3 linked regions of the Ovis aries genome follow. The protein of the gene in region 1 purifies or fractionates together with the protein of each later gene. This does not show direct contact. Links are inferred from orthologs where the notes say so. Each region holds a gene or a part of one and is shown in the gene's direction. Other genes may lie near its edges.

Region 1 (9,705 bases):
ACAAAGATCTTCTTTTACATTGCCTTTGAAAGTTTCATAGTTCTGCGTTTCACATTTAAGTTTTTAATCTAACTGAAATATATTTTTTGTGTAATATTTGAGGTGTTTTCTTTTTTTCATAATGTTCTTAAATAATTCTCCAGCACCATTATTGAAATGAGCCACCTCTTGCTGATTCGCATTGCTTCAGTCAGTTCAGTTCAGGCCCTCAGTCGTATCTGACTCTTTGCGACCCCCATGGACTGCAGCACTCCAGGCTTCTCTGTCCATCACCAACCTTTGGAGCTTACTCAAACTCATATCCATTGAGTTGGTGATGCCATCCAACCATCTCATCCTCTGTCATCCCCTTCTCCCACCTTCAGTCTTTCCCAGCCTCAGGGTCTTTTCGAATGAATCAGTTCTACCCGACAGGTGGGCAGAGTATTGGAGTTTCAGCTTTAGCATCAGTCTTTCCAGTGAATATTCAGGGCGGATTTCCTTTAGGATGGACTAGTTGGATCTCCTTGCTGTCCAAGAGTCTGTCAAGAGTCTTCTCCAACACCACAGTTCAAAAGCATCAATTCTTCTGTGCTCAGCTTTCTTTATAGTCCAACTCTTAACATCCATACATGTGAAAGTGAAGTGAAGTTGCTCAGTTGTGTCCGACTCTTTGCAACCCCATGGGCTGTAGCCTATCAGGCTTCTCTGTTCATGAGACTTTCCAGGCAAGGGTACTGGAGTGGATTGCCATTTACTGGAAAAACCATAGCTTTGACTAGAAGGACTTTTGTTGGCAAAGTAATGTCTCTGCTGTTCTATCATAAATTACTTATATATACATATATCTATGGGTTTGTTCCTGGATTTTCTGTTTCATTGGTGTGTCATTTCTTACTAAGTCAACTCTATACTGTCCATCACTGTGACTTTATAAGTTTTTCTGTTAACTCTAGTAACTTCACTTTCTCATTCTTCACAGATGTCTTGGTTCTTTTACACCTGTTTTCCTTATATTTGAGAGTTAGCTTTTCATGTTCCCCCATTTCCCACACACACCGATAAAAACCCCAGAGCTATAGACATATCAGTATCAGTTGACATTATCAGATTACCAATATAGAGATAGTTAATAATTTTCATAGTATTTAAATCTCCCATACAAAGATCATGTATTTAGTCCTTAACATTTTTCACTGAGGTTGATTCATTTTCTCCACAGAAAGCTTGCACTAACTTTTTTTAAAAACTACATTTCTAAATAGTTTTGCTAGTATTTAGACATGTGGTTGACTTTTGCATATAGATTTTTTTATCTGATGATCTCACTAAATTTTTATTTCATTTTTGGTCATTTACATTGCTTTCCATTTATTTATTTTTGCCACGTTTCCCTCCAAGTTTTATTGAGATATAGTTGATAATATGGTATTTAAGGTATAAGACTGATTTGATATATATGTTTATTGCAAAATGATTATCACCATTGCCTTCCATTTTTAAATGTTATAAATCTCTAAAACTTCACTATACAATACAGTAGCCACCATCCACATGTGGCTATTTAAATTATGTGAAATGTGAGGATTCCTGGTGGTCCCGTGTTTAGGATGCTGAGTTTTCACAGTGGAAAACCTGGGTTCAATCCCTGGTCAGGGAACTAAGATCCTGCAAACCACATGGCAGGGCCAAAAATTTTTAAATTATGTGAAATGTGAAGTCTAGTATTTCCCAGGATGTATGAGTAACTCTTAAAACTTAAGAATAAAAAGACAAATAGCCATTTAAAAATAGGCGAAATATTTGAATAGATACTTCTCCAAAGATGTGTAAATGACTAATAAGTATATGAAAAGATGTTTAACATCATTAGCTATTAAGGAAATGCAAGTCAAAACTACTTATTAGGATAGCTGTAAGAAAAAAGATAGTAATATAAGTTTTGGTAAGGATGTGGAGAAATTGGAACCCTCTAAAATTGCTGGTGAGAATGCAAAATGGTACAGCCACTTTGGACAAGTCTTTGAATTCACCAAAAGGTTAAACATTGAGTTACTTTATGGCCTGGCAGTTCTACTCCTAGCCATAATCCAAGAGAAATGACAACATATGCCCACATAAAAACTCATATAGGGACTTCCTGGTGGTCTAGCAGTTAAGAATCCTCCTGCAAATGAAAGGGACATGGGTTTGATCCCTAGTCCAGGAACTAAGATCCCACATGCCTTAGGGCAACCAAGCCTGTGTGCTGCACCCTGCTGAGCCTGCAACTACTGAAGCCTAAGCACCCTAGAGTCAGTGTTCCGCAACAAAAGAAGCCACCGCTATGAGAAGCCCATACACCACCACAGCTAGAGAGTAGTGCCCGCCCACTGCAGCTAGACAAGGAGAAAGCATGTGCATCACAATTAAAACCCAGCACAGCCAGAAATAGTTTTTAAATTATTTTTGGGAACTCATATACAAATGTGCCTATCAACGTTATTCATAACAGCCAAAAAGTGTAAATAACCCAAATGTCCATCAACTGATGAGTGGATAAATAAAATATAGTATAGCCATACAATGGAGTATTAATCATAAAAATGAAGTGCTAATAATGCTGCAACATTGATGAATCTCATGTGATGTACCACATATGATTCCACTTATGTGAAGTATGCAGAAAAGGCAAACCATAGAGACAGATAGTAGATTAGTAGTTGCTGGAGGTTGCAGGTGTGGTGGAATGGGGAATGACTGTTAATAGAAACCCCATACTTAGTGGGATTTCTTTTCAGGGTGATGAAAATGTTCTAGAATTAGATACTGGTGATGGTTGTACAACCTTGTGAATACACTAAAAACCACTGAATTAAACATTTTGAAGGGGTAAATTTGTTACGTAAATTACATCTGATTTTTTAAATTTTTTAGTCAAATTTAAAGGCTTCCATCAGAGAAGGCAGTGGCACCCCACTCCAGTACTCTTGCCTGGAAAATCCCATGGATGGAGGGGCCTGGTGGGCTGTGGTCCATGGGGTCGCTAAGGGTCAAACAACTGAGCAACTTCACTTTCAGTTTTCACTTTCATGCATTGGAGAAGGAAATGGCAACCCATTCCAGTGTTCTTGCCTGGAGAATCCCAGGGACGGGGGAGCCTGGTAGGTTGCCATCTATGGGGTCACACAGAGTCGGACACGACTGAAGAGACTTAGCAGCAGCAGCAGCAGCAGCAAAGGCTTCCATGATAGCTCAGTTGGTAAAGAATCTGCCTGCAATGCAAGAGACCATGGTTTGATTCCTGGATCGGGAAAATCCACTGGAAAAGGGATAGGCTACCCATTCCAGTATTCTTGGACTTCCCTTGTGGCTTAGCTGGTAAAGAGTCCACCTGCAATGCGGGAGACCTGGGTTCAATCCCTGGGTTGGCAAGATCCACTGAAGAAGGGAAAGGCTACCCCTTCAGTATTCTGGCCTAGAGAATTCAGTCCATGGGGTCACAAAGAGTTGGACATGACTGAGCAACTTTTACTTTACTTCGCTTCAGTAAAATTTAAAACTCATTTCGTGTGCTTAGTCGCTGAATTGTAACAGATTGGCCAGTGCAGAAACAGAATATGTCTATCATAGCAGGAATCGAACCATGGTCTCCTGCATTACAGGCAGATTCTTTACCAACTGAGCTATTACGGAAGCCTTTAAATTTGACTCAAAAATATAAAAAATCAGATGGTAATTTACATAACAAATTTACCCTTTTAAAATGTATAATTCAGTGGTTTTTAGTGTATTCACAAGGTTGTACAACCATCACCATTATCTATTGGACAGCACTACTCAAGAAACATTTTAACTTAATTCACTGGGCACATTTCATTTTTCAAATCATTCAGATGACCCATAAAAAAATTATTGTTATAAAAATTCAAGTATTTGAAAATCCCAGATCCCATAGACTGTCACCTGTACCAGTACTTTATCCCCAGGTAAGAATTGTTATCTGTTTGCTGTTTTATCTTTCTGAATGCTTTTCGTACTTTTACATAGATAGGTGTATCTGTAACTAGTTTATAGTTGTTATCAAGTGTTCCCATGATAGTTTGGTTCTTGATTTCTTGGAAATTCTTATGTATAAGTCTTTCACTCAATTTTTCTCATCTAGGTGATGCTGGGAACAGAACTCCAAAAGACCAGAAGGTAACTTGAAATGAGTAAGAGAAGGATGAGAGAGAAGAATATGAAGATAGAAGAAACTTTTGGCCTAACCGTTAAGTCAGTTCAGTCATCAAGATATAACCAGTCACCCTGAAGTCAGCCCCATGGGTTGCAGTTCTCTAATGAATGTTATAAGAATACAAAAGCTCCTTATAGATACATGCACTGAATGCTGTATGAATATAGAATTTGGCAGTGATAAGCTAGATTAATTAATCAAGGAAAGCTTCCTAAAGCTGATTTCTGAACCAGATTTGTAAGAAAGGGCAAGTTTTGCCTGATAGAGTAACTATAAGCTTCTAGAAGTAACTGTAAGCTTCTAAACATAACTCAGTCTGTTTCATTTTTTAAAAGACAAGTTGTTATTCTCAAGAAGCGGTGCTACTATTTTAAAACTTGTTTCTTTTGTCCCCTTCCTCACAGCTCCGTGAAGCTATGGCTGCCTTAAGAAAATCGGCTCAAGATGTCCAGAAGTTCATGGATGCTGTCAACAAGAAGAGTAGTTCCCAGGATCTTCACAAAGGTTAGAGTCAGGAGACATCTTGGTATAGGTGCAGGGGTGAAGTCCTACAGAGATTTCATGGATACTGTGTTTTAATGTTTCAGTGTCTTTCTCTACCTCTGTAGGATTCTTTTAATACCACTTGCTGTTTGCTTAAGTCTTTTTTTTTTTTGGCTGTATCACTCAGCTTGTGGGATCTTAGTACCCTGACCAGGGATCGAACCCAGGCCCACAGCACTGAAAGTGCGGAGTCCTAACCACTGGACCACTGGGGAAGTCTCTTGGCTTAAGTCGTTTGTCTGATGGCTTTCTACCATGTGATGGCTTTGTCCAAATAACTTTTTAGCTCCGTGCTCATGATATCTTCTTTCAGATGAAGGTTAAAGAAAACAGTAACTCAAACTGTAAAAAAGAGGTCTGAAGGAAGCTTTCTTTGTAGAATGCAGCTATTAAGAGATCCCTCCCAGGAAAATGATTTATAAAAGCTGTGCTGTGCTTAGTTGCTCAGTTGTGCCAGACTCTTTGCGATCCCATGGACTGTAGCCCGCCAGGTTCCTCTGTCCATGGGGATTCTTCAGGCAAGAATACTGGAGTGGGTTGCCATGCCCTCCTCCAGGGATCTTCCCAACCCAGGTATTAAACCCAGGTCTCCTGCATTGCAGGTGGATTCTTTATGGTCTGAGCCACCATGCTGCTTGGCATTTAATGAGTAATAGTTAATGTTGTTAATAAGGAGTCAGAAATATTTGGTTACAGTGAGATGGTCTTGAGTTACATGTGAATTTCAATTCATATTTTTCCTGTTAGCATAAAGAGCTGAGTCCACTGTGTCTTATATATCTGCCCTTGGCCAAGGGAGCAGGAAAATTGGTTAAGGATCAGTGATTACCCCATTTGTCCCAATAACCCAGTACCCTCTTTATTTTCCATTCTTTCCCCAATCTGTGCCATATCTCTTTAGAGCAACTTTGCTTTCTTCCTAGGAACCTTGAGCCAGATGCCTGGAGAACTGAGCAAAGATGGTGACTTGGTCGTCAGCATGCGCATCCTCGGCAAAAAAAGAACTAAGACGTGGCACAAAGGCACCCTTATTGCCATCCAGACGGTTGGTATGTTCAGGCTAGAGGGAGGGCTAATGCAAGAGCCTGCAGGCCACCATCACTGATCGTGTCTTTTCCCCAGAGCCTTTGGCTTTTGTCTCTCACATAGCAATCAGGATCCACACAGAAACTGATGGTTTCTAAAAATTTTTGTTTCTCTTTTCCGTTTGACTCAGGGTCAGGAAAGAAGTACAAGGTGAAATTTGACAACAAAGGAAAGAGTCTTCTGTCAGGAAACCACATTGCCTACGATTACCACCCTCCTGCTGACAAGTTGTATGTGGGCAGTCGAGTAGTGGCCAAATACAAAGATGGGAATCAGGTCTGGCTCTATGCTGGCATTGTAGCTGAGACACCAAACGTCAAAAACAAGCTCAGGTACCTAGACAGAAATTGTAAGGAGAGTGGAAGCCAGGAGCAGGTCATCTGCCCTGTTTAAGCCATAGTGCAGATCTCACAATTGGCTCTGATGTTCTTAGTCCTCAGTGGCTGGAAACTCCCTCTTTCCTTTGCCACAGAGTCATGTGGGTGGTTCTTTCTTGCTCCCTTCCCCCCTTTTTTTCCCTTTTCTCAAAGAGAAAATTTGGTCAGGGGAGAATAATCCAGATTGATTAATGGTTAGGGGAACAGAGAATTCATACAGAAGGAAGAAATGGAGACTAAATGTTTTTCAACAATGTGAGAGTCCAATAGTATAACAAGAATAAATCACTTTTGGGAAAGTGGGGATATGTTGGTTAGATTAAGAGAGAATTCTAATATTCTTTTCCATTGTGATTTATTACAGGATATTGAATATAGTTCCCTGTGCTATACAGTGGGACCTTATTGTTTATCCAGTCTATATATAATAGTTTGCATCTGCTAACCTAAGGGAGAATTCTTAACTCTTGGGGTGGAAAGAAAGAATAGTAGAAAGAAAACAGTACACTGGAACATGTTCCCTGGATTGTGTCTTGTTTGTGATCCAGAGGAATGGAAGCTATAATAATTTCTGGTCATGTTAAATATAGTAACCCCCAGTCTTTCTACCATCACTCTTTCCTTACAGGTTTCTCATCTTCTTTGATGATGGCTATGCTTCCTATGTTACACAGTCTGAACTATATCCCATTTGCCGGCCACGTGAGTGTCCCTCCTTTTTTCCTTAGCTCTTTTTGTTTCCTCTTCTACCTTCTATTTCTTAAGACAACCAATGGAAAAGCCCTAATGTTCTTGGTGTTTTAGTTTCAAAGAGCATAAGTTTGATTCATATTTTTTGAGAGATACAGTTTTATTTGCTCGTGCCTAGTGTTAGGTCTTGGCAGCCATAGAGTCAGACATTAGAAGATCATGACTGATTTTGAGTGGATGCACGTATTGTAGATGTGTTTTAGTTTCATTTCTGAGTGATTTAAGTTTGACAAGATGTTACTTCTCTCCTAGTCTCATGTTTAACATTTGTGTAAATCTGTAGTCTGTGCATTGCTTTCAGAGTGCTTTCTACAGAACCTGTATTAGATGGGGTCTTCATAGTTTCCCCTATACTTGTGATTCTGGCTTAGGAGAGACTCTTATAGAAGCAACTGTTTTTAGTTGCAGGAAGGTCAAGTGAAATGGCTGTTTCCACATAACATGGCAGTGAATACACTCAGGGTCCTTTGAAAGCCTGATGGAGCATGAGAAGGAAGGACAGGATTTTTTAAAATCAGTTTATGGTGCCTCCTGATTCTTTTTGATTTACCTTTAGGCTTATCAAGTAAGCAAGAATTTCCACTTGACTTTTCCTAAGAGGAAACATCCATTTCTAGGAAATGAGTGACTCACCTATGTTTACATACTGCTGATTCAATTAGTATTTGCAGAATTTGAGTGTGCATTTGCACCTTAGGTTCAGTACTTTTAAGTGGTCATGGTTTTGCTTCCCTTGAGGTTATGATTTCTTCATTTATTTTTTCTCTCCTTCCCAACTTGAAAAATGCCAAACATTTCCTTGTCAACCCTTTCCCCCTATCAAGACATGCCCTACCTGCCCTCTCTCAGCCCTCCTTCTTCCTTGGGACAGTGAAAAAGACTTGGGAGGACATAGAAGACATCTCCTGCCGAGACTTCATAGAAGAGTATATCACCGCTTACCCCAACCGCCCCATGGTGTTGCTCAAGAGTGGCCAGCTGATCAAGACTGAGTGGGAAGGCACGTGGTGGAAGTCCCGAGTCGAGGAGGTGGACGGCAGCCTAGTCAGGATCCTCTTTCTGGTACTCTTCTTAGGAGTCTTAGAGGCGGGGATTTGGGTGGGATGGGGGAGCATAGGATAACTATGGCATATGTAGCTATGCCATAGTTTTTCTTCTTTGTTACTCTCTTACCTATTCTCAGTTTTGGGTCATATTTTACTTTTTTTTCATTCCTCTATGCATGGTTATTAAAAATAAAGTCCCTGAATTTAAGACTCTAATCTGCACGATAGTGTTTTTGTTTTTGCTTTTCTCCAGGAGTATCCACAATGCATGTAGATACAGAGAAGGCTGCTAGTTCTGTTTTCCCAGGGTTATTGATAATATAATGGGACAAAAAAGAAGGATCAGTGAATTCTGAGGTGTTGATGATCTTTCAAGGCCCAGCTTAACTCTTAAATCTTCTCTACTTGTCCTTTTCTCCCCTCTCACACCTTTCTTAGAATTATATTTCTTCTCTGAGCTATCTCAGCCCTTTGATCCTAATGAACCTTGTTATATGTCTTATACTCAGTATAAACATCTATCTCTTGTCATTTTTTTAAACAAGAAATATGTGTTTTTGTTTTGGGGGGTTTTATTTTTGTTGTTTAATTCCTGATGCCTGTTGTGGAGCCTAGCACATAAATTTATTGAATAGATAGGGAATTGGGCGTTCATCAGGGAGATTTCCCCCAAGGGAGGCACATGGTATTCTTCACAAGTGGCAGGGTAGATTCTGGCCTTTAACCCATTCCCCTGCCGCCTTTCCTTACTTGCGATCCCCTAGGATGACAAAAGATGTGAATGGATCTATCGAGGCTCTACACGACTGGAGCCCATGTTCAGCATGAAGACATCATCCGCCTCTGCACTAGAGAAGAAGCAAGGGGGACAGCTTAGAACACGTCCAAATATGGGTAAGTCCTGAAAGCTATCTGGGAGAGGGAAAAAATGGACAAATCAGCAAAGAGGTATATGTACGATGGCTATATCCTTTGTTTACCAGGATGACGCTACTGCCACATTGAAAACAGGACATGTTCCTAAGTTTCCAGTAGTGGTGATGAATTTGTGTTGCTGCCTCAACATACTATGGCTCTGATTTGTTCTCAAAAACACATAAAAATCTGAAACAACTAGCTTAGGTTAGGGGTATTGTTGGTAGTAACTACCTCTGTTATTTACATGAGGATTATCTGCTTTGTGTGTGCTATCTGTGGTCTTTTTTTTTTTTTTTTTTTGGCTGCGGTGCTCTTCATTGCTCAAGGACTTTCTCTAGTTGCAGCTAGCAGGGGCTACTCATCATTTCAGTGTCCAGGCTTCTCATTACAGTGGCTTCTCTTGTTGCAAAGCATAGGCCCTAGAGCATGCGGGCTTAGTAGTTCTGGCTCCTAGGTATTAGAGCACAGGCTCAGTAATTGTGGCACACGGGTTTAGTTGCTCTGTGGCATATGGAATCTTCTCAGTTTAGGGATCGAACCCATATCCCCTGACTTCCAGTCTTAATTTTTATCCACCATGTGTGATTAACTTGTTTTAAAATTTTGGTTTTGTCTTTATATGTTCCTGGCATACGTTTTGGTTAATTTTTCTTGACAACATCAGTTGATCAGAGAATGTATTTTTGAAAATTTTTACCAGAGTATAACATAATTGGCTTCCCTGGCAGCTCAGTGGTAAAGGATCCATCTGCCAATGCAGGAGACACAGGTTCAATCCTTCAGTTGGGAA
Region 2 (10,488 bases), on another chromosome or scaffold:
GGGATGATGATGATGATGATGAATGGGACGACTGAATCACCACCACCTCTGCTGTTCTGTGCTGGGCTCCCCTGGCAGCCCTCCTCGCCACCCTCCACTTAACTTCCTGGCCCCCAAGCCCCTTTTCTTTCCTACCCACCCCTCCTATGCTGTTATCTCTGACTGGCCTCCTCCCACACACACTCACCCTAGCAATAGCCAGGGACCTTTTTATATAAAATGTCTCAGTTCAACTCATTCAAGGATTTTTAAAAAAAAATAAAATAACTGTCTTTTTGTTTCTTTAAATCTCAGTTTCTTTACCTACCAAATGTGAGAATTTGGGGTCCTTTTCCCCCAAAGTTCCTTTTATTCCTATTTCATTTGTTTAGCCATACATATGTATATTTATTTATTCATTTGTTCCCTTGGTCATTTAGTCTGTATTTCTTTGTTTCCTTCTGCCCTTCCTTCTTTCGACAGATATTTATTACCAGGCACTACTTTGGGGGCTGGGGATAAAGCAATGGGAAACAAACAACAAAAATTCTTGGTCTTGTGAGGTCAACATTCTAGGGCAGGAGATAGACAAGAAACAAGGAATTAAATAAAAACAAAAAGAGTTACAGATCATGGTAAGAGCTATATTGTGCTGAGAGGAAGTGATGGTAAGATGTAGAGTTCAGGGAAAGACACTTGGAGGAGGTGACAGTTATGCTGAATCTAGAGAGAAAGGATTCAACCATGTGAATATTTAGAGGGAAGGGCCTTCCAGGCAGAGGGAATAGCCAATGCAAAGACCCTGAGGTGGGAAAAAGCTTGGTGTGAGGCTGAATGTGGTGAACGAGTGAGAGTTATTTGTACACTCATTAAAAAAAAAGTGCGATCAACACAGTATTAGATCAAGAGAGCACTCAATGATCAGACTTCCCACTCTCCATGCACACAACTCCCACACAATGCTAAAATTTGATTCTGCCCAGTTCCCAGTGCAATCTAAGTCCTGGCCAATGGCAATGAAAGAGGCCATAGATCTGCTCTAGATCACAGGCAAGATGCCTCACCTCTGAGCCTCAGTTTCTTCATCTATACAATGGGGGCAACAATATATAACCTATTTCCAACTTGGATCCCACTGGGTCACCCTCCTCCTCTAGAACTTGCTCTCCAGAGGGGGAAAAAGGCGCAACTCAAAACTGTCCCTGGTGTCAAAGCTGTTTCCAAGGGGGTAATTAGAAACTCTTGTACATCAAAGCCTAGAATAGAGGGGCCTACCCCTTCCCATTTCTGAAACCTGGTGGATATAAGATCTCAGGTTTCATACCTTCAGAGGAGTAAGAGAGCAGGGAGGAAAATAAAGGTGAGGGAGAATTCAAAGGGGGCAGACTTCTTCCATCTGCAAGATCAGTGCAAGAATTTCTGAACCATCCAAGGGCAGCTTAAGGGGTTAGAAGAGGGTGGAGGTATAAGGAGTAGGAGCTGGCTTTGCCCCTTAAGAATTTCCCTGCAGCCATGGAAGCTGGAGAAGGAGGGAGTCCTGGGTTCCCTTTAATTTTTCATTGTTCTTCATCCTTTACTCCACTCCCCACCCCACCCTGGTTGGGTTCCCATGGCAAGCACTGAGTCTAGGAAGGGCCTGTCATATCACTTCTACCCCCACCAAACCCAGAATTCCATAACCCTTTGAGCAGGTTTTGTCCTGGAAAAGACCTTACATCACACAACCTCTGAATCCCCAGGAGCATTGGCTAGAGCAAGCACAGATCTGGGGTAAAAGAGTTGACTATGGGGAAGTTGCTTGAGCTCCCTGGGCCTCAGTTTCTTCACGGGGTAGTGACAAGAATGAAAGTAGATGGTGTGTGCAAAGTTCCTGGCTCCTTGTAGGCATTTATAAACCTGAGATGCTGTTTCTGCTGTTGTTACTATTGTTATTATTGGGTGTCGCTGATCCTGAGTCATCACTGATTATAAAATGCACCATTATTCTATATATCACTTAAAAAGACCAAAGAAAAGTACTTCCAGTTAAGTTATAACCTATCAGTGCTTTTAAGACACTCTGACTTTGGAGATATTAAACAATTAAGTGCTTCTAGGGCCCTGGCTGACAATGTTGTTTCTTAACCTGGATTCTGATTCCACATGTATGTTCATTTGTGAAACTCATTACACGGGGTCACCACCCATGGTCTCCTTGTTTTTCTGTATGTGTGGTACACTCCAATGTTAGGTTTATATTAAAAGCCAGTCAAACTTGCGCAGTTTGGAAAGGATAAGATTTTGTATTGGCCCTGCACTGGGAGATGTAGTCCACAGCAGAGTATGCACTGAATTAATGCTGAGTGAACAGATGAACAGCTGGGTGTAGGACACAGTAATAATAGGGTCATTTCTTACTTTGAGGTCTTCTAAAAAGGTGCTATCCCAGAAAGATTCATTTTCCAGATGAGCAAGAGATACCCACCCCAAGGTCACTCATCCAAGGTTTTACAGATGAAGGAACTGCCTAAGGTCCCACACTTTAGTGAAGGGTTGAGCTTGGATTGTACCCAGGTATTTGGGCTCTAAAATCCAAGCCTTTACCCACTATACTATCCTATGTGGGGAAGACTGATGGATGGTCCCCAACACCTGTAAACCACTACATCTTCCCCAGATTCAGGCAGAAAGAGGTCATGCCAAATAAAAGAAAAAGAAAAGAAAAAGAAAGAGCTCATGCCTTAAACTACTATTGTGGGTTGGACAGGCCTCCTGGCTCCTAGGAGTGGGAAGGTCCTGCCTGCCTGGGGAGACTGGGGTCATGTGAGGACCAGCATCTGACTGTTCTAGAAGTAATAAGGGAGAGAAGAATTCACAGTGAGACTTCCACTGTTAACTGTTCCACCCATGGCAAGCAGGGGCTAATGGAACCTCATCCTGACCAGTCATTTCTCCAGCTGGCTCACAGTTGGACTGGCAGGCACAGAATAACCATTTGGTTGACTACATAAAGTATGGAACAACAGGGAGAGGGGCAATTTGAGGAAATGACAGTGTGGGTTATTGACACTGTGAGCTACTTAAAATCTAACTGAATTACAGCCTGCTTGGGACTGGCTGGGGCTGATGACCTGATGCTGCAAAAGAGAGGCAGCCTCCTGAGGGACTTACAGGTTGACTGACTGATGACCCGTGCTGTTGCTGCCTGCCTGGGTAGCCGGATGTTGTGAATGGCTGACTATTGCTAGGAATCACACCTGGCCGGAGAGTATGTGTGGATGTTACACTGTCTGGGGATGTGTAAAGGAGATCTGCTCAGTCGCTCAGTTGTGTCCTACTCTTTGCGACCCCATGAACTGCAGCCCACCAGACTCCTCTGTCCATGGAATTTTCTGGGCAAGAATACTAGAGTTGGTTGTCATTTCCTAATCCAGAGGATCTTCCAACCCAGGGATCAAACCTGTATCTCCTGCCTTGGCAGGCAAATTCTTTACTACTGAGCCACCTGGGAAGCCCCTAAAGGAGGTCTACCCTGAGGGAATTTCAGGTTGACTGATGGACAGATCTGTGCCTGCCTGATAGGCAACCATATCTAGTGACTGACTGTCTACTGTGAACAAATCACAGCGTACTTGACAGACCGTGTGCTCAGTCAGATGTTGAGAATGGCTACCTAGTTGACTGATACGAAGGGCAGACTGAATGAGTCACAGGCCAGCTGGCCCACTGAAAAATCAGTGTAGCCGCTTGAAACCATGGCTGTCCACAGACAGAACCACATCCACCCTAAAGGGCCCTGGGGGTCAGAGAATGCTGACTGACCTACCAATGGAGGGTATGCCTTGCCTGAGAAATGACAGATTGCTGGCCACTGACAGGTGGCCTGGAGGCTTTAGCTGCTGTGAGTACGTGCTCTGGGGAAATAAACTGCCTGATCACGGCATGAATGAGGAGGAACCTGAGAGAATTATGGAGTGACCAGCTGACAGTGGAGCGTGTAGCCCACACGACAGGGCTACATTCGATGTTGACAATGACAGTCTGTCCTGACATAATCACAGCCAGCCAGAGGGCCCAAGCTGGCTTCCTGGGCGGTGGTGAGGTGATTTCCCCCAGAGGATTCGGAGCTGCTTCCAGGGCCAGGGTAGATGGAGAGCCTGGCTACTGGACAGACTGATGGTGTGATGAAGGGACAATCTAAGGGAATGGCAGGCTGGCTTACAGCAACATAGCTGTTGTCAGCGCCGTTTGTCTGCCTCAGGGGCCTCGCAGCTGGCCCGAAAGCAAGAATGGATGCTGCTGCTGACAGACTGACAGCGTGAATGGCGGGCGGGGGTCTGATGAGACAGTGGTAGTGGTGATGGATTTCAGTCGGGTGACTGCCCGAGCAGCTGTATGCGGCGGTAGTCCACCTGGGGAGTCACGGACTGCTTGGGGTTAAAATCTGGTGACGGACTGACTGACGGCGGTAATTGGGGGTCTGACAGGACGGAGAATCCCCTTTTGCGGCTAGCTGACAACGTGATTGGCTGACAGCGTGACAGACAGACCGGCGTACGGGCAGGGCCTCCGGCAACCTCAGCCGCCCTTGCTGCCGCGGCCGCCCCCCAGAGGCACTCTCGCAAAACACTGGCGAGCACCCGCCTTCGGGACCGAGCCGGGTGGCCGGGAGGGGTCCCGTCACGGCTCGCCGGTTGGTCCGCGCAGGCGCTGCTCGCTGCGCGGCGCGGCCAATAGGCTGCGCATTCTCGGCCACGCCCGCGCGAGCTCTCTTCTCGCGAGGCCGGTTAGGCCCGAATGTCGTTAGCCGTGGGGAAAGATGGCGGAAAATTTAAAAGGTGAAGCAGTGGCGGCAGCGACGCGGGCCCGCTGGCAGGCTGGGTGGGCTGGAGGGGTGGCGTCGCGGACTCGGGGCCCCCGGCGTCCGAGGCCACCGGGCCGGGAGCCGGAAGGTCGGCGCCAAAAGGCTGGGGCTCGAGGCGCGCGGGCCTGGCGCGCGGGGCTGGGCGGGGCTGAGGGGAGGGGGCGCGTGCCTTGGAACACGGAGGGCGCGGGGCTAAGTGGGGACGCGAGAGGGGGGCGCGCGCCGCAAATTGCGACCTGACGGCGCGCGCACGCGCGGGGGCTTGTTGGGGGAGGCCGCGCCCGCGCGCGGGAAAATTGGCCGCCGGTGACCGTTACCCTCTCGGTGTCCACGCGAGACGCCGGAAGGGGAGGGGAGGGAAGGGGACGGACCTCCTTTTCAGCGTTGCGGGACAGGGGAATCATCAGGGGGAGGATATCTGCTCGCAGCGTGATGGGGGAAGGATTTGAGGCAGAGAGAACTCCCCCAGGAAGAGGGGAAGAAGACTTCCCTAATGGGAGAGCTGGGCTCCCTGACGCGCAGGCAAAGAGGGGTGACTCAGTGTTGAGGAAGGTGGGCCCCTCTGGATGAGGAAAGCTGCGGGGGGGATGGGTTCCACAGGTGTGAAGGGGAGCTCTGAGGGTAGGAGTGTCCACCTGTGGTCAGTGCGGAGACAGCAGCATATTTGAGTTGGGATCACATTAGTTGGGGCTTCAAATGTAAGTTTGCAAGGGAGAGGCATAGGGAAAGGAAGGCGTGGGCACAGGCCGAGTCTCCACTAGGCCTGTCTAAGAGGAGGGGTGGAAATGCACACGTAATGATTTTGCAAAGCTCTTGTACATTTGTAGGTTGACATCTAGAGTATTTCACCATGAGTTTCAGTTTTTGTAATGGAAGGTAGAAAATATTAAACATTTTTAAAAGATGAAACAGGATGAGGACTGACTGATTACATTTGGAACAAGGGTTTTGTGAAATGATTTGATAAAATGGCTTCTAAAGCACAGAGACTAAGAATATGCCTTGAACCAAAAGATGCCTTTTAAATTACAAAATCTGTCCTGAAAAATTTTGGTAGCCTCCCCCCCCCCCCCCAACAACTAACCTATTTGTTCTGTCTGTTCTTGAATTCAGAGCACACTCCTTTGGGTGAGCTTTACCCTTCAGAGAAATATGAATGAGACAGAAAATCAAAATGCAGCCTGAAAAAATATGGATTTAAGGCACTCACGTGAATCATTTGGGGAAGCTTCCTATAATCTAATATCACTCCACAATCTCTTATTCTTAATTCCAAAATCCAAAAAGCCCTGAAAGTTTAAATTTGGTGTCATTCAGTGGCAAAATTAGGCTATCACTGCCACTATCTTGCATCTTTCTCTTATTCAGTGTGAAAATTCACACTTTTTCTGCAGAACTATTAATGTGATTATGGCTTGATACCCTTGACCACACTAGGGCTGTGTTAGGGAATGTAGGGGATATACCTAGAACTACACTTGTAAAATCCCCCCAATGGAATTTGGATTCTAAAACATCTGGCACCAGGAGTTACAGATGAGATTGTGGACCAGTCTTTCCAGTTAATGCCTTTGTCTGGTGCCCTGGAGGCTTTAATCCCATCCCTACCCACCCACCTTGGGACAGTGCACCCTACTGAGATGGGGGTTGTTCTCTTTCTTTTGCAAAGTGGGGAGAAGGACAATTAGGTCCTGAACTCCAAGGAGGTTTGCAGGCAGTTTAAAGAATGGTATAGAGGGAGCTGAAAGCTCTGGAGGAGGGGTGGGGAATCGATTCCTTTAGGATGATCCGTGCAGCAGAAACCACTTGGAAGTCTGCTGCTCCAGGGTAAGCCTTGGACAGTGGGCACTGGGGTAGATGGAAGTGGCACATCTTTGTTGAAGGGTCTTAGCATTGGGAAAGCCTGTGGATTAAATTTCACTGCCTCTGAGGTAGTCCTTTGGAATTCCTAGGGATGATTTGGGGTCCTCTTTGACCCCTGGCCTCATCAGGATGCTCAGCAATAGTTCTTTCTGGCCCTCTTTGTTCTAGGCTGCAGTGTGTGTTGCAAATCTTCTTGGAATCAGCTACAGGACCTGTGCCGCCTGGCCAAGCTCTCCTGCCCTGCCCTTGGCATCTCCAAGAGGAACCTCTATGACTTTGAAGTCGAGTACCTGTGTGATTACAAAAAGATCCGCGTGAGTCTGGGGTGACTGTGGCCAGGGCAGAGGTGACTCAAGGAAGCTGGCTTCCTGCCCGCCTCCTCCCCCATTACCCACATCTGTTTCCAAAAGCAGTTTTCTCCTCTGATCTTAAAAACGTAGGATTAGTAGGCCCTCTTATCATTTCCATTTTACAGGTGGGAAAACCAAGTGGCTTTCTGAGAGGGGCAGGAGCCAGAAGGAATCCTTAAATAAATCTCTCCTCCCACCTCCCTCTGAATACAAACCAATTGCAAAGATTGAGATGCTGAGCCCAGGAGTGGAGATAATGATAACTAATGGTATTGATGATGATGGACAGGGAAGCCTGGCATGCTGCAGTCCATGGGGTCACAAAGAGTCCGACACGACTCAGCGAACTGAACTGAATGGTTTTGAGCACTTTGCGGTGCGAGGCACTTTCTTTTAGAAACTAATTTAATCCCACCAGCAACATTGTAAAATGGCAACTGTTACTGTTGCCCGAGGAGATAATGGCAGGACAGTTAACAGAACAGCCTGGAGCCAGCATACTTCAGTTCACATCCAGGCTGTGTAACTCTGGAAAACTTACACCAATTCTCTGTACTTCATTTTCCTCATCTATACAATGGGGATAATTAGCAGTATCTACCTTATATAGAGTCGTAAGTGTTAAATTAGCTAATAATACATATAAGTTGCTTAGAACAATACCTTCTACATAATGAATGCTAGAAAAACATCTGCTCTTTTTTTTCTTATTTACAGGATGAGGAAACTGAGGCCCAGTGAAGTTAAATAACTGCCTGAGTTTAGGTTTGCATTACTAGGGAGCAGCAGATTCAGGATGTGTACCCAACGTGTTTAGTTGTAGAATCTGTGTAGTTAAACTCTATCCTATAGTGCCTCTCGGCAAGAAAAGATCCTTCTGGCTGCTGTGTGGAGAACAGACCTAGGGATGAGGGTGGAAACAGAGGGACAAGTGAGGAGGCTGCTGCTGCACTCCAGGCGAGCAATGAGGGTGGTGACAGAGATTTGAAGTGTAGTATTCTGGATGTAGCTTGAAGGATTTCCTGAGGGTGGATATGGGGAGTGTGAGAGGGTGGATATGGGGAGTGTGAGAAAAAGGAGTCAAAGATGACTCTGAGAGGAGAGGCTGAACAGCTAGCAGGAGGGGATAGATTTGGGAGATAAAAGTTGGATTTAGACAGATAGTAAGGGGAAGAGAGGGATTTGAACCTAGTGAGCCTCACTCTGAGAGCCTATGTTTTTTTATCACTGCAAAGAGTCATTCTAGGAAAGGAGCGGTTTGGGTGTTGCCCACAGCCTTTGGGATGGAAGTGCCACAAGAGCTGGCCCAAGGGTCTCGTCTGTCACTTACAGTGCCCCCACCCCTTCCCCACCCCCCCAGGAACAGGAGTATTACCTGGTAAAATGGCGTGGGTACCCAGACTCCGAGAGCACCTGGGAACCACGGCAGAATCTGAAGTGTGTGCGCATTCTCAAGCAGTTCCACAAGGACTTGGAAAGGGAGCTGCTCCGGCGGCACCACCGGTCAAAGCCACCCCGGCACCTGGACCCAAGCCTGGCCAACTACCTGGTGCAGAAGGCCAAGCAGAGGCGGGCACTCCAGCGCTGGGAGCAGGAGCTCAATGCCAAGCGCAGCCACCTGGGACGCATCACCGTGGAAAATGAAGTGGACCTGGATGGCCCCCCACGGGCCTTTGTGTACATCAACGAGTACCGTGTTGGTGAGGGCATCACCCTCAACCAGGTGGCTGTGGGCTGCGAGTGCCAGGACTGTCTGTGGGCACCGGCTGGAGGCTGCTGCCCTGGGGCATCACTGCACAAGTTTGCCTACAATGACCAGGGCCAGGTGCGCCTGCGAGCCGGGCTGCCCATCTACGAGTGCAACTCCCGCTGCCGCTGTGGCTATGACTGCCCCAACCGAGTGGTACAGAAGGGCATCCGCTACGACCTCTGCATCTTCCGCACGGATGATGGACGTGGCTGGGGTGTCCGCACGCTGGAGAAGATCCGCAAGAACAGTTTCGTCATGGAGTACGTGGGCGAGGTAGGGAGACAGGGCTTGGCGGGTGTGTATGGCTCTCCCCACTGTGTGTTCCCACCCTGAGCGCCTGCCTCTTTCTCCCTACTGTATGCCTGAAGTTCCCCTGCTTTCCCTGGGGGGAAGGTGTTGAGGGGGTAACCTGAGTGTGAGAGGGACTATCCTGGCAGGGGCACATATTCCACGCTGGTAGTTAAAGGCACGTTGAAATACTTTCAAACTGGGTTGACTTCATAAGGGTACCTAGCAAAGAGGTAAGCGGGAACTGAAATCCAGGCAGCATTCCTTTTAACAGACCACGTGGCCTGCACAGGATTGCATCATCTGAAAAGGCACTTCCTCTTCTCATTTCATGAGGGTCCAGCTTATCACCAGTCAGTGTCTGCCCAGGAGTACTTTTTTTTTTTACTAATCTGCACAAAAAGAACACAGTCTGCCTTGGGCGGGAAGCAGGGGTGGGGTTGGCTACCTCCTCCTCTAGCCACTGCAGGACACTGGGGCAAAGCTGGTATCCTTCCACCCAAATGGTGTGGCTGCCTAGGTTCTTTCCCTCTTGTGCCTTTACCGTGGCTTAGAGCTGCCTCTGATCCTCAGTGTTGCCTGGTGGGTGGGCTGCTGGGGGGCAGAAGGGGAGGTCTCTAATGGGCTGGGCCAGGATATGGTGCATATCATGTCTGCCCACACCTATTGGTTGCGACCAAGTCATGGGCCTTACTTCAGTTCAAAGGCAGCTGCAAAGCATGATTCAGCCATATGCCCAAATGGAAAACAAAAGGGGGTTGGGTGAATAACTAGCAGGTGTCTGCAACAGCAAGTTTTGAAGTGGGTCACAGTGGGCATTTGGGGTGAGACAGTTGTTTGTTACATAGGAAGGCCTCATGCATTGGGGAACATTTAACATCCCTGGACCATGACCATTTAAATCCATGAGTGTACCTTGTCACAGGGACAGCCCCAAACACCTCTGTGTTTCTGTGGGTCTCTTAGGGGTGTGATACAGCTGGGAGGTGACAGCATTGGCTATAGTGATAACAGTGATGAAGAGGAGAGGCTCCTGTTCTGAGGAACTATGTGTGTGTGCTTAATTGCTTCAGTTGTGTCTGACTCTTTTCGACCTTATGGACTGTAGCCTGCCAGGTTCCTCTGTCCACGGGATTCTCCAGGCAAGAATACTCGAGTGGGTTTCCATGCCCTCCTCCAGGGAATCTTCCTGACCCAGGGATCAAAGCCATGTCTCTTAACATCTCCTGCATTGGCAGGTGGGGTTTTTTCTTTTTTAACCACTAGCACCACCTGGAAAGCCCTGGGGAACTATAGAGAGGGTCATAGCCCCAGGGGGCGGGGGAACAGAAACTGTCTAGAGATTGAGCAGTCCACACAGCAGAGGACCCTGACAGTCTGAACAGAGAGATATCCACACCCCAGACAATCCTGGG
Region 3 (9,705 bases), on another chromosome or scaffold:
TGTATAAAGTGAATTGTCATTTAATATTGCTTACTTAATGTAGAATTTACTGCATCTTAAATCTATTTTTCTGCTTTTCATTAGCTCCAACCACCGTGAATGTAACACATCGTCCAGTGACTCAGGTGACCACGAGACTCCCTGTACCGAGAGCTCCTGCAAACCACCAGGTGGTTTATACAACCCTGCCCGCACCACCAGCTCAGGCTCCCCTGCGAGGGACTGTTATGCAGGCTCCTGCTGTTCGGCAGGTCAATCCCCAAAACAGTAAGAGACCCTTTTCCTGTTTATGTTGTTCTTTTGCATGTAGTTGGAGTGGCTTATATTGATGTTAGATGCAGCAAAAAGTGTTCAATATCATACTAAAACTATTATTCATTCATTTTCTTTTCTTAGGAGAGTTAACCAGAAAAAAATGGACTGGTATCTAATTTGTGTTCTGTGTGTTGTCTTCAGTTTAATTATTTATGGCCTACTTGATTTGATGTTGGTCTGTACCATACTTTAGAGACAACTTGCCTAATTAAAGTGGGAATGATCAATTGTGACTTAGCCCATATGGAGATAATGGTAAAGGATAGCCTCCAATGAGAGTCTTAAAGGTATGGAAAGTGGCTGAGAAATAAAAGATGGGAAAATGTTTAAGGTAACTTGTAATTTCCGTGTGTGTGTGTGTGTGATGGGAAAATGTTTAAGGTAACTTGTAATTTCCGTGTGTGTATGTGTGTGTGTATGTATATACATACACACATATATATATGAAACATACATGTTTTCAGCTGCAAAATATACAAACAAGTTTATATAAAGGATATATTTAAAGCTTAAAGAAAAATAGCAAAATGAACCACATATGAACTCTCCACTAGGCTAAGAAATAGAACTTTATCAAAATCTAAAAATCTATGTATGCCTGCTCTTAATTTCATCCTATTCCCTTTCCATCAGAGGTAACCATCACCCTTACTTTCTGTTTTTCTGTATGGTTTTGCAATCTCTATAGGTATCACTAAAAATATTCAGTTTCGCAAAACTTAACAAGCAGGGACAAATCCAGCTGTTTATTGAAACTTCAGTCATGCCATTATTAGGTGATGGCTATAGGAGAAAATAAACTAAACAGAGTCTCTAGTTCACATTCTGGCTTTAGCTTTCTCAAGTTTACAAGAGCTTTCTCTGGGGAAATCTGTCAGCAGTGTCTTAAATGAATTCTGGGAAACAGGGCTCACCCCAGGCAAGGTACCCACAGTAATGGATATATGGCAGAAATATGGCTGAGCTATGAGTGGCTTCTAAATTTTCTCCATTTTTTAATTTTAAAAAAATTTTATCTTTGGTCACACTGGGTCTTCATTGCTGCACATGAGCTTTCTGTAGTTGCGGGGAACAGGGGCTACTCTCTAGTTGTGGTGTTCAGCTTTCGCATTGCGGTGACTTGTGCAGTGCAGGCTCTAGGGGCTCAGGCTTCAGTAGTTGCAGCTGTAGAGTAGACTGGGCTCCAGAGCACAGTCTCAGTAGTTGCCCCATGGCATGTGGGATCTTCCCAGACCAGGGATCAAAGCTGTGTCCTCTGCATTGGCAGGTAAATTCTTATGCACTGTACCACCGAGGAAGTCTGCTTCTAAATTTTCTGCTTTTGTTGCCCTGATGTCTGTATAAAGTTTTCTGTTGGATGAAATGAGTATCCTCAGCTGATCAGCAGAGCATGGAAAGGAAGAGAGGAACCTTGTTAAAATGAGGCAAGATTAACTTGCCTGTTCTGGAGGCAGCAGAGATCTTTGTGAAGAAAGCTTCATGTTTTCTATCTTTAGAGTCACAGTGCTCCGTTCTGGCCTATCTGCCTTCTGTGTTATGTGTACCTCCAGTGTTTCAGTGTGCTAGGATTTTGGGTATGGATTGCATTTCTTTCTTTCCTATGCTGGATCTCCTGTTCACTTTGTCTCCTATTGTCCTTTGTTAATCTTGTCTCTCGTGTGGCTACTTGAAGAAAAGTTCATGGAGGTAGACTATTTATTTTGGTAGCTTGCATATATGAGAATTTCTTTATCTTCATGCTTGAATGATACTTTAGATGAGTATAGACTTCTAGGTTAGATATATTTTTCCTTTTGAATTTTAAAAACATCACTTTACTGATTTTTAAATGTTTAATTCAGTGTTCTACCAAATTTAGAATAGAATTCGAATTCTATCACTTCATTTTCTTTTATAGGTGTTACAGTCCGAGTGCCTCAAGCAACTACATATGTTGTAAACAATGGATTAACCCTGGGATCAACAGGACCTCAGCTCACAGTGCATCACCGACCACCACAAGTGCATACTGTAAGTGAGGACCCTTGGCTTCACAAAATTCTCACGTATAACACTGTCAGATACCACTGCAGTTAGTACTTTTTCTTTAAACTAGTTATAGCAAAAGAAAATAACAGGTCTTCTGTTTTTCCAGCAGATGTTTATTGAAGAAAGTAGATCTTACCATTATATCTGTCAACATTACTCAGAAACACTTCTGGGTAATGATGGTTGGGGAGTATAGAGTTTGCTTGTGGTGGTGTGCAGCATATAAAAGAGTCCACGTCTGGGGCGTGAGAAGTGGAATAGACTATGTTAAACTTATGGTTAGGTTAAAGAGCGCATTCTTGAGTAGTGAATATTTTTTTAAAGTACTGAATATTTTACGAAATATTGTTGCAGGTTTAATTTTATTCTCAGAATTTTATACTAGTTCTATTACACTGCTATCGTTTTACTGGTTTTATTTTAAACTTTTAATTTAAAAAAATTTTCTAATTTAACTGTAGTTGATTTACAGTGTTGTGGTAGTTTCAGGTGTACAGCCTCAGATTCTTTTCCATTATAGTTTATTATAAGATATTGAATGGAGTTGCCTGTGCTATAGAGTAAATCCTTGTTTACCTATTTTATACATAGTGATGTATATCTGGTAATCCCATACTTCTAATTTATCCCTTCCCCTCTCCTTTGGTAACCATAACTATTTTCTGTGTCTGTGAGCCTGTTTCTGTTCTGTAAAGAAGTCCATTTGTATTATTTTTTGGATTCCACATATAAGTGATATCATATAATATTTGTCTTTCTCTGACCTATCACCTGCTACTTTTAATCATCCAGTGGTATTGGGAATTCATTGGTTAAGAGATAATAGAGAAAACCAAAGATTTCTCCTTAGTTTTAATCTCCAAATCAATGTCACATTATCCTGTGACCTGACTGTAATAGTATTTGGTATGATAGAGTGTGTGAATGGAAATGCTGGCTCTAATAGTGGTAGGAGATTGAGGCTGATACCACTTTTTACCAAGCAAAGCATCCTTTTTAAAATATACATAGTAATGGCTAAGTTTGTGAAGGGCTTTCTATGCACCAGGCACTGTTAATTTATGTGGTCCTTACACAGAAATTCTTTAGAACTCTAGCTTTCTTTTTTTATCCTTTATTATTGGTATGGCAGCTAATGTACAGAGTGGTTGAATAACCAGCCCCAGGTCATACCTCATAAAACCCAACACATTCCAGTTCCAGAGCCTGTGCTCTTAGCAGCTGTTATTTTACTGTCCCACTGCAGTTAAAAAAGTCGTGTTAATGGAGCACTTCACGTATACGAGGCACTCTACTATTGTACTTGTATTATTTTATTTACTCCTCCCAACCCTACTGTGTGCTTAGTCGCTCAGTTATGACTGACTCTTTGTGACCCCATAGACTAGCCCACCAGGTTTCTTTGTCCATGGGGGTTCTCCAGGCAAGAATACTGGAGTGGGTTGCCATGCCCTCCTCCAGGGGATCTTCCCAACCCAGGGATCAAACTCAGGTCTCCTGCGTTGCAGATGGAGTCTTTACCATCTAAGCCACCAGGGAAACCCTTGAGAATCAATATTCTCTGTTTGATAGAAGAGGCTACTGTGTCTTAGCGATATTAGGTGATTACTCAGTGTCACTGCCAAACTAGTGTCAGAGGCAGAGCCATTTTAAAACTCAGATTTTTCTGGTCCCAGCACCTCCAGCATGTTGGCACAGTGCTTCAGATCTAGCCTTGTAGGATCTGTGGCACATATCTCATTACTGTTGTTTGCAACTACAAACAACCTACTTCATCCCATATTCCTTCGAGAAATATATAGTAAAAATGTCCTATTTATGCTGCAGTTTTGCAAATGTGATGATCCATCAGAGCTTTTTTTAAAACAGGATTCCATATGAATTGTCTTATAATAAATACACTATATCTCATCAGAGAAGGCAATGGCACCCCACTCCAGTACTCTTGCCTAGAAAATCCCATGGATGGAGGAGCCTGGTTGGCTGCAGTCCATGGGGTCGCAAAGAGTCGGACATGACTGAGCGACTTCGCTTTCACTTTTCACTTTCATGCATTGGAGAAGGAAATGGCAACCCACTCCAGTGTTCTTGCCTGGAGAATCCCAGGGACGGGGGAGCCTGGTGGGCTGCCATCTATGGGGTCACAAAGAGTCGGACACAACTGAAGCAACTTAGCAGCAGCAGCAGCAGTATCTCATAGGAGAAACATTCTTTTAATTTAATTTTAATAATATTTTTAACTGGGAATTTTCAAATATATATAAAAGTAGAAAGACTAGTGTAGCAATCCCCACCTACCCATTACCTGTCTTCAGTAGTCATCAGTCTTCAGCAGTCATAGCCAATCTTCTTTCTTCTGTATTGCCACCCACAAACTCCTACAACCTGTGTATGCACTGGAATATTTTGAAGCAAATCCCTGATATATTATCTCTAAAACTTCAGTAGAAATCTCCATTGCAGTGGCAGAAACGAAGCAGTAGCTCAGTTGACTTAACTGTTTTGAAATATGAGAGGATTTGGTAGCCTCAAATTTTAAGAATTAGAAAGGGCTGTTATAGGCTGTAAGCTATTATCATACTCCTTAAATTCCTACTCTTTCCAGTCAAGTTCATGACTGCAGCCTTCTTCTCATAGATCTTACTAGTTGTGTGTTTATTTAATGTTATTTACTTAATTTGAGAGAAGTAATACAGTAAGATGGCCAGTATTCAAATCTGTTTTTCTTCAGCTTTTGATGTTTCATGTATTTGCATTTGCTTTTTTCCCTCCCTCTAACTTTATATTTATTTTAGCTTTTAAACTGTGTTTCTCCAGATGTGTATATGATTTTTTTCACTTCACATATAAATTTCAGCATATTTTCATTTCTTGAGATTATTTGGCAGATCCTTTTTTGAGTTGTTACTGCGTGCATACTACTAGCACTGAACTTTGAAAAGGCATAGAGATTTAGAAGATATCAGATCTTCACAGAATTCACTATTTAGTATATGCAAATTATCCATTTAATGAAATGCATATTAAAACATAATTTTGATAAATGAATTTCAGTTAAGGAGATCTTATTTTTTTCATGACTTCCAAACTAAAGTCATTGAGCAATAATGTTTCACTTGGGGGGAAAAAAAGACCACTTATATCTCTGTTTCCTGGCTCTTACTTAAATCTTTTTGAAGAACTGGTATCATTGTAATCTTAAAACCCAGATGATAATAATGTCTAGCATCAGGTCAGTTTGTAAGCTTAGTATTCATGCTTTTTCATTATCTGGCCTTAACTTACCTTTCCAAATTTGTGTGTTCTTCACATTCTCCGTGTTTTTGCCCATAAATCCCCTCGCTTGCCTATCCCCATGCCTTGTTCATGCTTTTACCTGTTAGCAGAAAGATTCACAACTATTTCTACATTTCTAAATTCTCTCTCTCACAGTCCAGTATAAATGTAACCTTTTTCATGCAGACTGACCAAGAATATAATATACAGTCAGTGTTATATGTACTTAACTTATAAGAATATGCTACTGTCTTTTTATGGAGAAACAGTCTGAAAATGAAAGTAGAGTTGATACTCAAATTTTAGATGATTGATAGACTGCCAACATATGTTATTAAAAAATATGTTATATTAAAACAAGAGTCTGTGGTATAGATCATTAAATCATTAATTATTTTATCAGAAGTAGATTATTATTTCAGTTTCTGTCAAGATGATGTTCCATCAGCCAGGGCTTTTGTTTCCCAAGGAAAACTCAGTATCTCAGACCCAAAAAGCACAGAGGGAATAATCTCAACACTCATCTTCTGGGTCATGAACTGGTTTCAAATCATCAGGGAGAACTTGCCAGATGTGTGATATTTGCTATTTCCCAGTATTCTTGATGTAAAATGAAGACTCTCTAAAAGTAAGTGATTTCTAGGATGTTATAGTTCTCGCATTAAGAAACAGTCCTTTCTCCAATCATTATCCATCAACATGACTCTTTTTTTGTTAGGAGCCCCCACGCCCTGTGCACCCAGCACCCTTACCAGAAGCCCCACAACCACAGCGTCTGCCCCCTGAAGCTGCCAGCACGTCTCTGCCTCAGAAGCCTCACTTGAAGTTAGCACGAGTTCAGAGTCAAAATGGCATTGTACTGTCCTGGAGTGTTCTGGAGGTGGACAGAAGCTGCGCCACTGTTGACAGCTACCACCTGTACGCTTACCACGAGGAACCCAGTGCCACTGTACCCTCACAGTGGAAGAAGATTGGCGAAGTCAAGGCACTTCCCTTGCCTATGGCATGCACTCTCACCCAGTTCGTGTCTGGCAGCAAATACTACTTTGCAGTACGAGCCAAGGATATTTACGGGCGTTTTGGACCTTTCTGTGATCCTCAGTCAACAGATGTGATCTCTTCTTCACAGAGCAGTTAAACCTTGGAGCCTTTCTCTCTTCCTCTTTCAGAAGTTCTACTTTTTGGTCTTGTTTTAATCTTGTGCATGATACCCATTGTAAAATGCACATTGTGCAAGATTTCTTGGACCGATGTATATATACACTACATTTGTTTATAATCAGAATAAACTCAGCCCATAAAGCAGGATCTTTTCCTGAACAATTCAGGCTTCAAGGTTTTGAAATGTAAATGTGCACCTTGCTTTAGTTTTGAGGCTGGGGTATATGTGTGGTGTGTGCTTTTCTGTATTTATATGTTTATTACAGTGGAATCTCCCATTTTCATTCTCAAATTTACCTCTCTTCCAGTGTGAAGTAAGTAGATCAAATGATTTGAGGTATGTATCTGGCATGATTCTGCTTCTACGTGATCTGTAGGTTTATAGATAGATGATTTAAACTGACTCTAAATGGAACCCAAAGAAAAAATAAAAAGCAAAATGGTCAAATAGTTTAAAATAGGTTAATTTGAACACAGGAAAAGATCTTTTCATGTTTTCTTTTGTCTTTTCTGGGTTGTCAATCGATGAAAAAGAATTGCAGTGGGCCCTCCCTTTTCTAATCAGAGATTTTTTTCCATTTATTTTTGTGCCTTAAGGATTAACTGCAGAAGTAAACAGGGCCATTTTTCCATTGTGGTTTACTCTTCTCTGTCAACCTTTCATCCTCATTTCTCCTTTCTCTCCACCAAATGTAGCACATTTCCCTCAAGTAAATTTTAGACCAAGGCTTTTATATGTAGTCTCATCAGTGACATCATTACATTTAACTTGCTCTTTTCTTCCAAGAAAATTAATGCTTTTTATTTCTGGTCACTATTTAACTCTGTGTAAAGTGAACCAAAAGAAGACCACATTGTATAAGCCAATTTCCCTTCAAATATCTTTTAATATCTATGTTGCACACTGTCTTAGAGATTATGAAAGCAATTCTGGTTTACCTTATCACCCAAAGCATACCTTATCACCCATAGTATTCTTTCAAAGAAAGTAAATAGTAAAATTCACAAAATACAGTAAGCTAAACTATCAAGGGAAAGCTCCATTTCTTCTTTATCCTCATATCATTCTTCCTGTATTAATCTTTTCTTTTGATGGTGCTAAGTTTTGTCTGATTCACCATATGTCAGCTTTGGATACGGTTTAAAGTATATCCTTTGGGGTCATTTATGTAAGAATGACTTTACAACTTCTGTGCATCTCTGTTCCTCTTCAAAGTTTTAATCAAACTTTGGTCATGGATTTTCTATTTGAGTGCCAGTTATACTGGTATCAGGTACATGTTGGAGTGTAGGTAGCTTAAGACAGGAGAGATGGCGTAATTTGGGGGATGAGAGTGGGGTTGGCGATGCTTGGAAAGGAATTTGTGGAGTTTGTGGAATACATTTTCAAGCCATCTTCCATATCATATTGGAAATCATATTCCTGCCTTCTTAAATGAGTTAGTCATTAATGTATGACTTATAAGAGGGAACTGTCACTTCCATATTAATGCTTCTTTGTTTGCATCTTCAATGGCTTGTAATAGGAAACATTCTACTTGTAAAGAAACTCTCTTTAGAGACTTTTACTGGTCACTGTACTGTCAGGTTGGATGTGAAGTTTGATTGATGTGGAGGAAAGCCTACAGATTGCCTAAAGTAAATGCTCCAAAATCTTCCTTTTGCTTTCAGAAAATATACCACAGTGAGAATTAAAATTTCCATGAGTCATATTTGCCAACCAACTATGTAGGTGTTACTCATTGTGGGTCTAATGATGATGGTAAAGAAATTGCCAATGTCATGCCAATGAAAAATTTTAAAGGGAGAAGCTTATGATCTTCTAGATGTATGTGAGCATCTGTCTTATATCTGCATGTACATATGTTTTTACCTGCAATGGTTGCAGTGTTGATTATGTGTTGAAGATCATTTCAGTTGACAGAATAGAAAGCCCATGTTCAAAATTGTCCTTTATTGACCGGTTTTATGGTCATGTGATAATTTGCTTACCTAGCCTAGAAAGCTTCCCTTGGTGAGTACTTTGTTTACTAATCCTTTTTTTTTTAATTATGCTTTTTTAAAAAAAAAAAAATTATGCTTTCATAGCATTATATAATCAGGTGAAGAAAGCCCAGTAGAATGAAAATATTATTTTGACCTATACTGTGTGATTTCTGTCAGAGAAAAAAGAAATAACTTAAATAGTAACCCTAAAAAATAGATTTACTACAGTAAAATAAAACTTTTTATTCCAAGTGGTGGAGGGAAGGTACAAAGAGAGATTGTAATTATTTGAGGGAAAAGATATTATAAGATGGTTTCTTTCAATTAGCCTGCCACAGAATTTATAGGCAACAATTATGTTGGAGTTACCAGTGGGTGCTACTTGAACTCTAGGTTTTTATTTCAGGCAGGTTTTTTAATGTTGAAGAGAGCTTTCTGTTTGGTTTGTTTCTTTAGAGACAGAGAATGGAGGGCTCAACTAGAAATAGCTACTGGTCACATATTTTTTAATAGCAATCACACTTCATGGTACCTTTTTTAATTTCACAGTATCTTTTCTCAGAGTATTACAAATAAGCTTAATAATCCCATTTTGGGAATGCAAGTTTGCTACTTTTTTAGTCTGACAATACTTGTGTAAGTATTGCCTTATTGGAAATCCTGGAAACTTCTGATACTTCAGCCTGAAATAGAGGATGTTTATATGACATTTAAAGGTAATGGTGATGTTTGTTACTGTCTACTTTGTACTTTGTCGGAGTAATTTTCACCCAATTTTAAGTGTGACTAAGCCTCACATTTTAAAATTACATTCTTGCCAGTACATTTATAAAGTATATACAAAGACATCTGTTGGTAACAGGTAACTTTATGAGGTAACTATATCCCTCTATTTCTCTGGACTCACTTTTTAAAACATGCAGAATACTGTGTGCCATT

Evidence for each region.
Region 2: the proteins of SETDB1 (region 1) and SUV39H1 purify together in Homo sapiens (affinity purification with mass spectrometry; 3 studies listed by BioGRID and IntAct, counting the BioPlex papers as one, with this or other methods). This does not show direct contact. The link is inferred for Ovis aries from reciprocal best matches to the Homo sapiens genes SETDB1 and SUV39H1.
Region 3: the proteins of SETDB1 (region 1) and ATF7IP purify together in Homo sapiens (affinity purification with mass spectrometry; 6 studies listed by BioGRID and IntAct, counting the BioPlex papers as one, with this or other methods). This does not show direct contact. The link is inferred for Ovis aries from reciprocal best matches to the Homo sapiens genes SETDB1 and ATF7IP.

What each region holds. Positions count from the first base shown.
Region 1 is NC_056054.1:100,894,811-100,904,515, forward strand, and holds part of SETDB1 (histone-lysine N-methyltransferase SETDB1), read left to right. Parts: intron 1-4,123; coding exon 4,124-4,158; intron 4,159-4,599; coding exon 4,600-4,699; intron 4,700-5,661; coding exon 5,662-5,787; intron 5,788-5,954; coding exon 5,955-6,156; intron 6,157-6,829; coding exon 6,830-6,903; intron 6,904-7,822; coding exon 7,823-8,013; intron 8,014-8,761; coding exon 8,762-8,891; intron 8,892-9,705. UniProt on the Homo sapiens protein: Histone methyltransferase that specifically trimethylates 'Lys-9' of histone H3. H3 'Lys-9' trimethylation represents a specific tag for epigenetic transcriptional repression by recruiting HP1 (CBX1, CBX3 and/or CBX5) proteins to methylated histones.
Region 2 is NC_056080.1:56,394,217-56,404,704, reverse strand, and holds the start of SUV39H1 (histone-lysine N-methyltransferase SUV39H1), read left to right. Parts: upstream 1-4,753; 5' UTR 4,754-4,777; coding exon 4,778-4,796; intron 4,797-6,853; coding exon 6,854-6,999; intron 7,000-8,395; coding exon 8,396-9,058; intron 9,059-10,488. Other genes in the region: actin nucleation-promoting factor WAS, read left to right, coding at 1-35. UniProt on the Homo sapiens protein: Histone methyltransferase that specifically trimethylates 'Lys-9' of histone H3 using monomethylated H3 'Lys-9' as substrate. Also weakly methylates histone H1 (in vitro).
Region 3 is NC_056056.1:201,008,820-201,018,524, reverse strand, and holds part of ATF7IP (activating transcription factor 7-interacting protein 1), read left to right. Parts: intron 1-84; coding exon 85-267; intron 268-396; coding exon 397-423; intron 424-2,212; coding exon 2,213-2,325; intron 2,326-6,088; coding exon of another isoform or gene 6,089-6,130; exon of another isoform or gene 6,131-6,247; intron 6,248-6,337; coding exon 6,338-6,757; 3' UTR 6,758-9,705. UniProt on the Homo sapiens protein: Recruiter that couples transcriptional factors to general transcription apparatus and thereby modulates transcription regulation and chromatin formation. Can both act as an activator or a repressor depending on the context.